3 linked regions of the Drosophila melanogaster genome follow. The protein of the gene in region 3 purifies or fractionates together with the protein of the main gene of each other region. This does not show direct contact. Each region holds a gene or a part of one and is shown on either strand. Other genes may lie near its edges.

Evidence for each region. The genes of interacting proteins can lie anywhere in the genome.
Region 1: the proteins of Prosbeta6 (region 3) and Pomp purify together in Drosophila melanogaster (affinity purification with mass spectrometry, with the first as the bait; one large-scale study listed by BioGRID). This does not show direct contact.
Region 2: the proteins of Prosbeta6 (region 3) and CG15717 purify together in Drosophila melanogaster (affinity purification with mass spectrometry, with the first as the bait; one large-scale study listed by BioGRID). This does not show direct contact.

Annotation. Positions count from the first base shown.
Region 1 is NT_033779.5:20,785,675-20,789,607, forward strand, and holds Pomp (pomp), read left to right. Parts: upstream 1-1,981; 5' UTR 1,982-2,108; coding exon 2,109-2,111; intron 2,112-2,175; coding exon 2,176-2,441; intron 2,442-2,728; coding exon 2,729-2,864; 3' UTR 2,865-3,424; downstream 3,425-3,933. Other genes in the region: vari (varicose), read right to left, coding at 3,573-3,749, 3,912-3,933.
Region 2 is NC_004354.4:13,127,448-13,135,026, reverse strand, and holds CG15717 (uncharacterized protein), read right to left. Parts: upstream 6,010-7,579; 5' UTR 5,926-6,009; coding exon 5,839-5,925; intron 5,722-5,838; coding exon 5,050-5,721; 3' UTR 4,991-5,049; exon of another isoform or gene 4,737-4,990; intron 4,035-4,736; exon of another isoform or gene 3,849-4,034; 3' UTR 3,231-3,848; coding exon of another isoform or gene 3,056-3,230; intron 2,096-3,055; coding exon of another isoform or gene 591-2,095; 3' UTR 462-590; downstream 1-461. Other genes in the region: MFS10 (major facilitator superfamily transporter 10), read right to left, coding at 591-2,095, 3,056-3,230; CG32638 (uncharacterized protein), read left to right, coding at 6,729-6,776.
Region 3 is NT_037436.4:16,608,897-16,612,001, forward strand, and holds Prosbeta6 (proteasome beta6 subunit), read right to left. Parts: upstream 1,523-3,105; 5' UTR 1,423-1,522; coding exon 1,334-1,422; intron 1,259-1,333; coding exon 640-1,258; 3' UTR 504-639; downstream 1-503. Other genes in the region: CG4098 (uncharacterized protein), read right to left, coding at 1-311; Su(P) (suppressor of ref(2)P sterility), read right to left, coding at 1,842-1,933, 1,996-2,402, 2,467-3,105. UniProt on the Drosophila melanogaster protein: Non-catalytic component of the proteasome, a multicatalytic proteinase complex which is characterized by its ability to cleave peptides with Arg, Phe, Tyr, Leu, and Glu adjacent to the leaving group at neutral or slightly basic pH.

The DNA.
Region 1 (3,933 bases), on a different chromosome or scaffold from region 3:
AGCATCCAGCGGAGACGGCCTGCAGAAGATTGTAAATTTTATACCATATACGTCATACAGAAATGGGTGTACTGGTGCACTGAGGGAAATCGTGCCCTCGGATGCCTTTAAATAACTCTTGAAAAGCTGAAGAAACATCCTTTTATTTTGTACTTCAATTTAAAGAAATCATCTATTGATCATCTTTTGGAATCTCTTGCTTTTACCCATTAATTTCTCTGAGTGCGTATAAAATAGAAGAGAAATATCAGCCCAATCAAGCTGTTTTAAAAGGAATTCCCTCATCTGAAGAGTCCCCTAGTTGAACCCACGACTCTTCTCTTTTTTGAATACACATCTTCGACTTTTATGCATTTATTGCTGTGAAAAAATGTTAATTCTCGACGTTATATTTTTATTTGACTTTTACATATCGATCTTCTCGCCCTGAGATCTCCATCTCCATTCGACCATACATAGTTGGCTCTTGGCCATCCTTATGGCCATATATTGGACTGACTGAATTGGTTGATTCGCCTCGTACTGGTCTACTGTGTATTAATTGGTCAAAGGCAGTAAAACAGAAAGTAAACGTTATAAATCAATCGTGGTATGAGTTCTTTTGAACTCTTCAAGCGGCAAAATTCACAGGGAACTGAAATGATTGTATTAACAAATAAGTCAAAGGAACGATGCTAGTAAGCTAAAATCGATGCGAGTAATTTGTGTTTATTCTAACTTAATTTATTTATAGACTTATAGATTAAATCACCATAAGTTGCATCCGAAAGAATCGCATCTCAAAGTAATAAAAACTAACGATATTTTTATCAACTCGACGCCATAAATATGCCCGTTGCGATATTCTTATTGTAAATTCTCGAATTGTCTGCTGATTAAATTTACTTATCATTTTGTCAGTTTCTTAATATAGAATTCATTCATTAAAAATAGGGCTGATCTTTTAAATTATCTAATACGTTTTTGTATCAATACTATAGCTATACATGCTATAAACTATTTGACTTTGTATTGCAATGCTCATCCATACCAATATTAAAATGATTAAAGTTGTAAATTACAAAGCAGGAATGTAGTTCGCTTTTTTCGCACTGTAAAATTCAGTAAATGGGCATAAATCATAATTTACGTACTACCTTTTAGTCTAAAGTGAAGGTGAAGATCCATCCATCCGGTTGATGTTTCCATTTGGATTTTCAAGTTCAGATTGGATAGGATCGGATCGGTTGGCCGGAGACAGTTTGGGCTATTGTGTGCGGGAGTTTGATTAACACAACATCCACTGGCCGAATCTTTATTAGTGACCATGCACTAATTAAGCCCTGTCGTGTGATTTGGTCTCCTCGCATTCGCATTCGTTCGCGTTTGTCACTCGATGCAAATGAATCGCGTCTCTGTGGAGCAGAAGATCATAAAAGCCGCTAAAAGGTGTGGGTGAAAAGAAAAACAAAACCCCGGCCAGCCAGCCAGCGGATTCAGTTCTTTTGTTGATCGAATTGATTAGAGCTGCGGCCGAGATCGATACGTTTGTATATTTCGGATGTGCGTTGCTGGCCAGCGAGGGTGTAATTAATCACAACACTCAAGTTCGTCACTTGACCGAAGTGTTAAGTGCGCTAATAACGCCAATTTGCATAGACCGACTTTTACCCATCAACACGATTACAATTAAAGTGTATTTCAAATAGTGCTGCGTTGTTGCTATATATATAGAAATATTTTGTTTAAATAATCAAATTGGATTGGAAAATTTGGAGTTCATAATTTCAAATCGAAATTCACTTGTCGGACATGCCGCATTTTTGTACCCTGCAATGGTTTGAAACCGAGCTAAAATTTATGTGGGTCAAAATGGATTGAATCCATGTTAGCATTGTCTGGAGCTGCCATCCTGATTTCTACACATGTAAAGAGTTGCCAGTCTGGTTTCTACACTACTGGATTCTATTCTAGTCGATAAGTTGCTTTCTATTCGATTATCTTGTCAATTATCGTCGATATCGAGTAGGCATCGACACAAGTACCAGCTCTAATTCGCACGGAATTTGTTTGTCATTCAAGAAACAATTATAATTCGCCGCATTTTTATTCTAAAAGCGCTTACGAATATGGTAAGTACCTCGCCGAGTGCATTTAGTAGAGCCGCTAACGAAACGAAAACCCCTCGCAATACAGTATCAGCCATCACTGAAAGTCCAGCCCGCCGAGGTGTCCGTGCTGAACGCCACCGGCCGTGTGGGAATGCCCACCGAGGCCAACTGCCTGAACCAACTGGCCCACGTCCACCGGCTGCGCGACTCGGAGCTGAACTACAACGAGCACCAGTACAACCGCAACATGCAGATGCTGCGCAACCACGAGGGCCTCGGCGTGCCCCTCAAGATGGGCATGGAGCGCTTCGCCGCACGTCAGGTGGGCCGCCTGCCCTTCCTTTCGTCCAGGTGAGCATCTAGCCCGGTCTGGGAGCTTCTCAGTCTGGACAGGAATCTCTGCAAGGGCGGAAGCATTCAGAAATCTTCTGTTTCCACATTATAAGAATCCCGGAGAAACCTGAGATATCCTACAATCTAGAAAATCTAAACTTCTTGCCTAATAATGGATACCTATATACGTACATACATACATACGTGTATACCAAGTATACCTGTGATTCCCATAGTACCATTATTACCGAAAACCCAGCAATGACTACTTATCTTCTATATTAATTCTTTCCTTTATATTGCAGCAACTTCATGGACGATGTCCTGACTGGCCGCTGTGATTCCATTGGCTTCGAGGACTTCATGAACTTGCCCGAGAACAGCGAGCATATGCGTCAGCCCCACGCTGTGGTGGAGAAATCTCTGGGAATTTACCAATAAGTCCCTGCAAATGAAGTTGCTAAATGCCTGGCATTCAGCCTTTAAACTCTAAGACACTCTTAAGATCAGCAAATAAAATATATTTTGGTGCGACCAGCTAGAGGTAAACAAAATTCACCATTTCTTTGAGCCAAATTTATTCGTATTTCGTTTGTTTAACTCCACATCAATACATTTAACTAGTTCGTTAAACTTACACATTTTATTCAAACAAATCTAAAAACTACACGAAAATATTGGCAGAAGGTTGTTGTACTGAGGAGATTCGTTAAAATAATAAACTGAAGAGATATGCGTTGACATCATTCATTATTTGTAAAAATAAAACAAGAGATGGTAAAATGGACGAATTCGTTTCGTAAAATTAGGCTTATACTTAAGGAAAACTGAATTGTAAACGGAGGGCGCATTTCAACTTATACAAACATTGCATATATACATGATTTATATTTAAAGAGGAAAATGACAGTAATTGAGATAAACATAGTTAATAAAACGCATTACATTCCTCAAGCAAAACACGTCTAATCAACAATAAATATTGAAATCGCTAGCGTTTTAAATGCTCTTCGCTAAATTTGTATTGTGTTGCGAGTTTAAGCTTCAATTACTGGAATTATCCCTTTAATTGTGATGATAGGCATTCGATTTTTATAGTATATATTCTTCAATATGCATAAAGGCGCAATTGCAAAGGGTCATGGGATTCTAGTAGATCCAGTTGACAGGCACCCACTGCTCCTCGTGGCTCATCTGATCCAGCGTTTCCACCACCTGGCGGAACGTCTCATCGAAGTCCTCGTTCACGATGACCATGTCGAAGTATTTCTCATACTTGCGCTGGACGAAGCTGCTCTCCTCGACGGTGGCGACAAGGTCGTCGTCCTGTTCGGAAAAGTCATAGAAAGCGAATGTGTTAAGCAATGTTTGGGTATTCAGGCAGAGATCTAACAGGGCTACTAGGGTGGCCTAGGTGCGCCAAGCGGATGATTGAGTTGAGCACAATTTATACGACACTGTAATTAAGGATAGGTCAGGGCACATTACCTCATACAACGACGCTAGGGAC
Region 2 (7,579 bases), on a different chromosome or scaffold from region 3:
CCCTGAAATTATGCAACATTTTTACAGCCTTCAAAAACATGAAAAGCCTAAAAGTGTTTTAAAAATCCAAGACTCTAGTAGCTGCATAAAATAAATAACCCATCAAATCATAATTCTCCAATGAAGAGGTATTACTTAGTCGGATACACGAAAACCACCTGCCAGTTAAAGAATAAAATGCTTAAATCAGGTGCCACAGTTCGATATGTTTGTGCTGTTTATTTCGACAGATCTACGTGCCTTCGAGCGTGTATATGATAGATATATAAATATATATGTATATATATATATAGTTGGTATTGGTATAATTGTTTACAAAAAAAAGACGCCTAGCAAAACAAAAGTCCATATAAAAGGACGATACACGTATATAATACACTAAAACAGTTAACATCCTTTCGATTTTCCATTCCGATTTGGTAGCACTAGTTTCGTTCGTTTCGTTTTTTTTTTTTCTTTTTGGAAGCCACATTCTTGTCCTGCATCCGGAAAACTTCGAGCCCAAATACATATGTAGGATATATGTGTATATATCGGAATTATCACAAATGCTTATGATCTAGCTAAAATAGCGTATAGTTAGGCTTGCTTCAAGCGCGCTGGGATCGTGAGTTGCGTGTGGGTGGTGTCTTCGACCAGCTTTGCTCCTCGGCGCTGGCGAAGATCAGGTAGATGAAGTTACCGGCTATATTCAAGCCCGCCGCCAGCCAGAAGACCAGATGCCACTGTGTCAGAGTCTCGCGATGATTGATGATTAGACCGATGACATACGGAGCCAGGAAGCCACAGATATTTGCCGCCGAATTGGTGATGCCATACATGGTGCCTGCATATCGTGGACTGAGCGCTATGTGATTCATCTGGTTGCCAGCATAGACGGCGCCGCCGAAAGAGCCCACGCCGGCCAACATAAAGGTGACCCACACCCAATCGCAGCCCACATAGATGATGCCAATCAGGCCCAGTGATGGCACCACGGAGGCCACCGTGTTCCACAACTTATACGAGTTCAGCAGCGATATGTAGCGTCTGGCTAGCATCCAATCCGCCAGGGCGGAGCAGGCAATGCCCACGAACCAGGAGGTTAGATACGGCACCGCATTGAGCAGAGCATTCGACTGGATGTCAAAGTGTAGGATGTTGCTCATGTAGGTGGGCAGCTCGGTTAGCTGCGTGTAGAAGGCCCATCCCTGGCCGCATTGCGTCAACAAGATGGCCCACAGAGGTACGGATGTGAGCAGCGATGACCAGGGTATCGGTTCCTCCGGCGGCGCCCGCAGACTCACTTCATCCTGTCCCTCCTCTTCCTCGGCCTCCGCTAGATCCTGATTTATTAGCCTCTGAACCTGTAGACTCCTTTCGATATACTCTCGCTCCGATTCTGAGATCCTGGGATGATCGCTAGGCTTGTCGTACACCAAATACATCCATGCGATGAACCACAGAATGCCCAACAGTCCGAAGATGTAGAAAGCCGACGGCCAGCCACCCAGGAAGTCCAGCGAGCACAGCCATCCGGCCAGCGGCATGGAAATGACTGTTCCGATATTGGAGCCCGCATAGACGATTGCGGCGAACTTGTTCCTCTCCAGCGGCGGTATCCAGTGGGCAAGCATGGCGTGCATAGCTGGATAGGTGACGCCCTCGCCCATTCCCTCCAGGATGCGGACCAGGACCAACAGCGGCAGATCCCAGTGGGCAGCCAATGGAGTTATAAGCGTAAAGACCGCCGTGATCAACACTCCATAGCCGTAGATCTTCTTCCCACCATACAGCTCGGCCATCCGTCCGCCGGGCACTTGGGTTAGCACATAGCCATAGAAGAAACTGCCGAGCACCAATCCCTGCGTGGCCTCGTCCCACACAAACTCGCCCTCCTTCTGCGGATTGGGATCGCTACCATTGTGATGTGGTGCCGGTAGTGGACACGTGTCCGTATCAATCACCGATGAGTTGCTGTGCGGAATTGCCGTTTGGTTCACCATGGCCACAATGGCCACCGACAGATTGACCCGCATCGCGTAGACCACGGCGAATCCCAGGAAGCCCATGAATCCGAAAATGTGACGCGTCTTTGGGCCACAGCCATGGTTTTCTGCAGGGTGGAGAGAGGAGAGAGTGGATGGTTAGTAAGCTATGGTTTAGGAGGCGTAATAACGATATCAGTTCCGGTTTTACTTAAAAGTTCTCGCCGTTCTCGATAAGGCCCAATGTTACACTGAAAATCCCTAAATACCATTCAATGTGTTATCATTGCATAGTTTAAATTGCCTCAATTTCTTCACTTTTTTATTCCTTTAGAAATGTTTACATGAGATGCCATTGCCAGTGAATTTAATTTCTTTTCAGATACTTGTTCATAGGAATCGCTCAAGTATAAAATCTAAAATAAAAATATTACGATCTGATACCATCGAAAAAGTTATCGGCCCTCCGTTCCATTTGAAATGCAGATTTGTACTGTTCTATAAAGTTCAGAAAAACTTCGCTTCATATCAGTAAATGTAAACAAGTCGTAATTTCGGCCCTTGGCGAATAAATTATACATAGGCATAGGCTGTTAACTGGATAACTGGATAGTATTACGTGAAAATTAAAATTTATGCGTAATTATTAGGTTATTTTATATTATATGTATGTTATGTTATATGTATAAAAACATTTTAATTATTTTTATTAGTTATTGAAATCTATAAGCCATATAATATCTTACTTTAAGATTAAATGAGAATTATTATAAATTGAAAGATACAATTTTAGAGTGTCTTGGATATACGTAAAATGAAATTTGTTTACAACAAAAAGTATCTTTGCGTTGAGTACTGTTTTTTTTTACACAGATATTCCGAGAGTTTATGTTTAATAAAAGTACTGACCCAGGACATATGTATGTACAATACATAAATGCAAATCAATATGAAGCAGAAATAGCACTAAAGATTTAAATAAATAAAGGTATCTTGAGCTTGTAATACGCATATCTACGTTGCTCCACCTACATATGCTATAGCTAGGTAAATATCTTTCCCCATCTGTGTATCTTGTAGCTACTCACCCTCCGCAGCGCCGCTGGAGCGGATTAGCGGTCGTTCGCCGGAGCAAAACGCCTCCCGTTCGTCGTCCGCTTCGTCGTCGGAGCGCTCCGCCGAGGCGGATGAATTGGAGGAGGTGGATGGATCGTAGTAACAGGAGGCGTCCCGCGACTCGTCCGTCCATTTGTGCGGTGGCATCGTGGCGCTCTATTTGGTTTCGTGGATTCCGATTGGAGATGTTGGTGCTTGGCGGTCTGTGCTTTTCGAGCGTCTTTTGAGCGTTTGGAACTGCAACTGCCAACGCATTTTCTCTGCCGGAGCGGCAGCTGTAGTGTAGTTATTGTATTTGTATCGCCAGCGGTGGCGGAAGCGGTTTGCTTGTCCACCAAAATCAAGAGCCGTGTGAGCGGGAGCGGGAACGGGAGCGGCAACGCGAGCGGACACCTCACCACGCCAGCGGGAACCAGCGCAGACTGACGGACTGGCAAATGGCAACGGGCAACGGACAGCGCAACAACAAACCTAAGCAAAAGGCAGCGCCAGCAAACGTAGCTTCTAACCACAAGAGGGGTAACAGTGGCGTAGTTGTGGGGTGGCGAGCCAAAATCACAGAGGGGATTCCTCGAGTGAGAAGAGTAAATACTTTCTGGCGATAGAATGATGGCGTAGTTCTTTGGGAATTTCAGTCATTGTTTAGTTGCCCCTTTTGCTGCGCCACTGCGTTTGGAGTCACCACAGCTCGCTCCCTCTCTAATGGCTGGCTCTGTGGCGTTCTCGCTCTCTCCCGTGTGAAAGTGGAGCATGAATGGTGCGGCGCTACGTCACAGAAGGGGATGCAAGAACGAAAGAGAGTGGGTGAGAGAGAGAGCATTAGAGAGGGCCAAAGAGAAAGGGGGTGATGTGCGAGAAGAGAAGAGAGTGCAGTGTGAATTGTATTGTTGTGAACTAACTTAAGTATACTATCTTTGTTTAGTTACAGTTAGTTTACACACACACACAAACTATAAACGGCGATATGGTATATTTGCCAGCACTGAAAAATTACTATTTGTAAGAAAATAAAAACAATAAAACAAAACTAATTTCCAGATAGTCGAAATCAAAAAGGGAATTTGTACTAAAATCTTGAGAATAAAAACAACGAGGAGAGAAAGGCAAAGTATACTTTAGTTGCCAACACAAATACACGCACACTCAAACAACTCAGGCTAACACAATAGCTACGTTTAAGTAGCCAAGCTCTTTTAATGTATGTAAGTCAATTCAAGCAGGCTCTAGTTAGAGAACAAAAGAAATGAGCAAAAACCTAAATTCCACACATAGTATGTACATTTCTACATCTGGAAATTTTTCCATATTTGTTGTCCGTTTACAATGAAATAGATAAGATAAAGGGTTAAGTTGATCGATCGCTGCGTAGCTCGCACAAAACAAAATGTTCTTTTAAAAATTTTCATTGAAATCATTACCAGTTTATCAGTTAAATGGTTCATTTACTTCATAGTATGTTAAGTTTACTAAAATGAGCGCTATTATTTTGGCCCCAAGTGTATGAGTGTGCCCTTCAACTGCTTCCATTTAAACTGCTTTGCAGGATTTCTATTTCTGGAGCAGCACTTGCGCATGTCCTGAAAAAATGCCTGTTGCATGCAGAGATTCGTGGACCTACCCCAAATTCCCACAGATGCATAAAAGTTGGCTGATGATTTTTCAGTGGACAATTATTGACAGAGTATCAAAAAAACAATTCAGACTCAAGGACCTTTTCGCAATACAATTGGAATATTATGATGGTTGCAAAATCAGATAATTTCTAAGTTAAGCCACATTAAATGCTAGTTGTTTGACATAACTCCTAATTTAGTTCGATATAATTCCAATTGAACTGTCGAAAAGGATGCCCCAAGCTACATGTAAAATGCTTAGAGAGGTATTTTAAAGTATGGCTTAAAAAGCACCTGGATGTAATTCCTTCCGGATGTGATTCGTCGCCGTCGAAGTCCAGAACTGTCACTCTTCAGTTGCCGAAGATGGTGCCCACGGGAAAGACGACGATCCTCCGTTTGCCGCTCACCACCAGCGATTCATAGTGATAGTTCTTGGCCAGCAGAACATCGTTGCGGTCGGCAGCAAAGGATTCCCAGATGGGATCCAAGTCCGGATTGAAGCAATTAATGGCCACAATATCGCTCGGTAGTCGTGGTATCAGTTCGTAGGCGCAGCCCAGCTTCTCATTCCACAGACTAACTTGGCCGTAAGGTAGGGGATCCCTTTTGGCCAACTGGCCGGCCTCCTTGGCTGTGCGGAATGTGTGCACCGTCACCACTCCCGTCGCTCCATTGCCCAGATAGCTGTGCACGCAGTCGTACACCAAGACGGGTGATTCCCCAGCCTTAAGGCTTTCGCCTTGTACTGTCTTGGCCTTCAGCTCTTCGATCTTGGCCAGCGTGCTGGTGTAGCTCGGATGCTTGGACACCTCCTGCGACAACGGACGCAAATCCTGCGCCACTAGGCCCACAAACTGATCGGCAATGCTCTCCTGGAGTAGCAACGTGGCCACCGATCCCTCGGCAAAGGGATTCTGCAGGGACTGGAGCAACTGGTGGCGCGCTGAGTGCAGATCACCGTCCTCGAAGACGACCATCAGCTGGGGGGAGCGCCACTGGGGTGCACTGGGAATCAGCGCCAACTGCAAGTAGATACATTTTTGAATTTAACATATGTATGTAGGTGCTCCGATAATCTCACTGAGACACAATCCGTGTGCCAAGGAGATCAAGGTTATGTCCGATATTGTCTGACTGACCTTCGTTTCCTGCGCCGTCGGCTGCAGCTGGTTGACCATGTAGCTGGTGATCCTGGACGGCTGGGACTGGGTGAAGTTGCTGGCCATGCTCTGCGAATTGAAAACTTGAATTCAATGGAATCGCCCGATCAGCTGCGTTATCAGCGGCTCACGCAAACATACACACACGCACATAAACAGACACACACGCACACACACATTCACATGCAGAGAAGGAAGATCGCTGATAAACTAAAATACCAGTTATTGGTATTATTCAGTATTTAACACGGCCTGTCGCATTTTATAGCTACGGTCACACCGAAATAATAACTGGCATGTATAAGCGGAACAGCGACCGGTCACATTGGCCCACACATCACAATTTTAATTTAAATTGCAATTGGTCGTGTTGCTGCGCTGACGCCTTCCAGCGTATAAAAGAAAATAACACTTTTGCCCCCGGCTAGCTAATAGTTGTTGACATCACTCGTTATTCGCCGTTCATTGTTGACGCCCCCGTGCAAAGGCAGCAACAACAACAGCGATTGCCAAATATTGCAGCAGCAACAACAAGAACATTTGGAGAACGAAAGAAGACCAACAAGTGCGCGCACACACACACACACGCACAGACGCACACAGATACACTCATACAGTGAAGCTATTGCGCTTTTAGCACCAATTGAAAGTGAATTGCAAGTGAAAATAGACGCAAAGTGGAACGATTTCAGCAAATTGTTGCACACGAAAATAACAAAACAGCTGTGCGACTCATTTTTTTTTGTGTTTTATTGTTGTTGTTGTCTGCGCCGCGTGTGGCAGCAGCAGGAGTGGGAGTGAGAGAGCGGTAGCCGCTGCAATAACTGCATTTGAGTGCGAGCGAGAAGGAGCAGGAGAGCGACATCATCATGACCGACCTCAACGAGCTGATGGGATCCCCTTTTGTGCGTGTGAAGGTAAGCAAGCAGTGCATGCGATGCGGGAGACGAGATGCCGCTATTGCACTGCACTGGCCAGCAAGCAGTGCACTGCACTCACCCCCCTCATCTTATCCAACAAACAATTGCAGCCATAAAAATAGCAATGGGCGACTAGGAAAACTCATAACTCATGACAAAAAAAAAAAAACAAAGAAACAGATAAAAATTCTGAATAAATGAAAAAGTCTCATTTAAATTAGGGGAAAGAATAAACAGGGTAAATAGATAACATATGGTACAGCTGCGGTCAAAATATTAACAGCAGGGCGGTTCAACTGGCTGGGTGGCACACATAAACAGAAGAAACAGATAAAGAATTTTACGGAAGCGGTCAAAAAATTAAACTGGGCGTATGAAACATACGTGTTTGTTTTTTAAGGAATAAAAGCCATGAAAAGTAGATAAAAACTTTTTTTGGAAATTTACTTACATGTGTTTGGATGCTTATTTTGCATTCAAAGTGGATATAGCTACATATACATACATATATCGGCAAATATAAATTACTTGTTGTAGAACGAAAATAAGTAAATTAATGCCATCGTTATATGTATAAGTAAAAAATACACATAAATGACATTGTATGTACAGCTGGACTAATGCAACTTGTGTGGGCGAAATAAAACTGCTTGAGCGAAATTTACAGCTTACGGGAAAACCTTATAAACTAATTACATCGTTTCACTAAAAACATTTTCCAATTGTGCAGTTTTCTGTCCAAGAATAAATATTGTTATTTCTATCATAATACAATCCGTTTTTTTTACCATAACATTATA
Region 3 (3,105 bases):
TCCAGCTGATTCCACTGTGGCCAGAATGTGTCGCTGGGCAACGGCGGATCAGCCCACACCTGCCCGCCAATATGTGGCGCCGTGTACGCAGGCGGGCAGTAGTCCGGGAACGGCTCCGACCAGAAGACCTGTTCGTCGGAAACTGGGTACCGGAGGACTGAGCTGCGCGGATACATGTTGTTGCGGCACATTAGGTGCCGGAAAATGCCCGGCTTCACCAGCGATGACATCATTTGGGCGGAGGTTAGCGGGTTTTCCAGGATCAGTGGCAAAAACAGAAGCGGCAGCAGTGCAAACTCGAAACTCGTCATTGGACTGAATTCTCTGAGAGACGAACACTAAGAAATGATTTTGTTAACGCACACCAGCGGGCACAAACTTAGCTAGCAAAATGGATTTGTTGGTACGGGGAAAGCTGTACTATTCGCACAGCCTCTTCTGTGAGCACTGCTTGGGAACGATTTATTTCTAGGACCAGCTGGTCACACTAGGCCGCATATTTTAAATCTCAAAGATTCGGTTTATTACGATGTTTTGTTGTTTTGGGTAAATACAAAAATTTGAAGCCAACTAACTTAGAATGCCTGGTTTCCACCGAATGCCCCTAACCAAAAGAAACGGCAACATCCTCGCCACAGGCTAGTCCTGACGCAGCGTCAGAGTTCGTACTTCAATTCCATCTTTGGTTATGATGTTGATCAGCACAGAGTCGCCGGTGTAGATGTCGCGCTCAGCGGCAGAGATGAAGGTGTCGGAGGCAACGCTCACGGCCCGCTCCTTGGTTAACTTGATCTTGTCGGCGTCTTCCAAATTCATGTTCTTGTGACCAATCTGGTTGTCCAGCACCGGTTGCAGCAGGGTGCCGGCAGTGCCGCCGGCGCGGTATGTAGCCTTCTCGCAGTGACCGATGGGATCGTAGGAGTAGACGACGCCCTTGCCCTCGTTGTCAATTCCAGCCAGAATGTTCGACACGTAGTACGGGAAGAAGCGGCGATTGTACATGGCGATGGAGAGCATCTGGGCCACGGCCTCAGTGGTCATGGTGCGCAGATGGGTATGCTCGTAGCTCTGCATGCGCACCTTAATCGATCCGGTCAACGAGAGCGTGTCCGCCCAGCAGCCTGCGGAACCCAACACTGTCTGGGGCGAGAGTTTAAAGAGTTTACTCTGCGTTCGCGAGTGAATGTTGTAGCCGCTGCTCAGGCGGGTGTCCGCTGCAATTACGGCAAAGTCATCTCCGGCGATGGCCACAATGGAGCTGTAAACAGGGAAGACTCCGGTTAGATGGAGACATTCTTCCACATCTCGATTCCGCTGGGAAATAGCAACTCACCCGCCATTGGACTCGTAGGGCGAGAAATCAGGATGCTTCATGCCGGGCACCTGGTAGTCCGGGAATTGCTCAAAGCCCAATCTGCTCATGTTTTGTGCTGAAATTCACCAATTAACTCGCCAAGTAAAAAACCAACGAAATGATTTGCAAGTTTGCAAGCGGCTAACCAAAATCACAAAATCAATGTGACCGTTGTTGAGCATCGGATCCAGCCTGCTTAAACGTTATCGATAGGTATACATACGTCGGTTTGGGATATTTTTATTAGCAGGAGGTATTTATTTAGTAAACATTTTTAATTTAACATATAAATAAAATAACAATATAAAACCTAAAATTAATTCCAATTTGTACCATAAACTTGCACTCCTTACGCGTTTTTGACCAAATATATACATTCAGATACCATAAACGAAACGGCAAACTAGATTTGATTAAAATGTATATTTTAATGAACATTTCGGTTATTTTCAACAATCTTTGGATAAAATAAGGGCAAATATTTGTTTTAAGCTATAGCGGCCATGTTTTCAATACGTTCTCTTTGCAACTGCCCACGATTCTTCTCCACCAACGCCTTGACGTCATAAAACCATTTACCTGCGGAAATATGTAAAAAGTTCGTAAAAAGGTACAAAACCCGAGAAAGAAACCTTATTTACCGATGCTGGTGTTTTGCAGACAATCCTTGAACGTCTGACACCCCTCCATGCTTGAAAGCACGCCGAAAACCGATAGATCAGCCAGACTTGGCTGTTTTCCGCCCATGAATTTCGTGTTCCTCTTTTTCAGCTCAGTGGTCCACTGGTCAAGGGCATCGTACATGTGCGACCTGACGTCGTCGCTGAGGGCGTGACGGCGCTTCAGCATCTTGGCTATGGCCCACATGGCGGTGGCACCACAGTAAACCATCAGGTCGCGCTCCCATTTGGGGAAGTGAACGTCCCACTCGCCAGCTTGCGAGAACCACTCAAAAGTCTCTAGGGACTCGCCCATGGTCTGATAACAGTTGGGCGATATTAGATGCACCAAGTGGCTGTCGGCCCAGCTTCTCCACTTGCGATCGGTTCTAAGAACAGACACTCAAGGTTAAAAGATTTGATTAAAAGATTACTTGACCCTGGTTAACTTACTCATCCGTTTCCTTGGATACTCCCTTGGGCGTATGCTCGCGGTACATGAGGAAGTATTTATTCAATATGTCGTTCTTCTTTTTGCCATCATCGTCGAAGAAGGAGGTGTGCGGATAGAACTGTGCCAGCTCGCCGATGTCGGTGCGCTTGTCCTGCAGGTGGGTGGCTATAAGGGATATGATGGCACTTGAGTCCACCATCTGGACGTATTTGCCGTCCTGCTGTCGGATGAGCACCATCGGCACCTTCTTCACCGACGACCAGCGGATGTCCTGCCGTAGGACGGCATCCACTTCGACCACCGCATAGGATATGCCCATGTAGTCGAGGAAAGCGCGCACCTTGCAACAGAAGGGACACGTCTGGAACTGGAACAGCACAATGTCCAAACCGGACGTGTCCTTGGGGTTGACATAGCGCTTGGTTATCCGCACTCCAGCCGGAATCCCGTCCAGCCGCGTCGGCTTCGTCTCCTCGTGCTCTTTGTGCGAGCTGCCGTCTGTCCACCGCTGGTACATCGTATACACCGATCCGGTGGCCGCGCCTACGGTGGCCCCCAAAACTGCGAGCTTGAAAGTTCCATTCGGCTTCTTTCTGCCTCCGCCGTTTTCAACCGCTACAGCAAACTGGCGGCGTGCG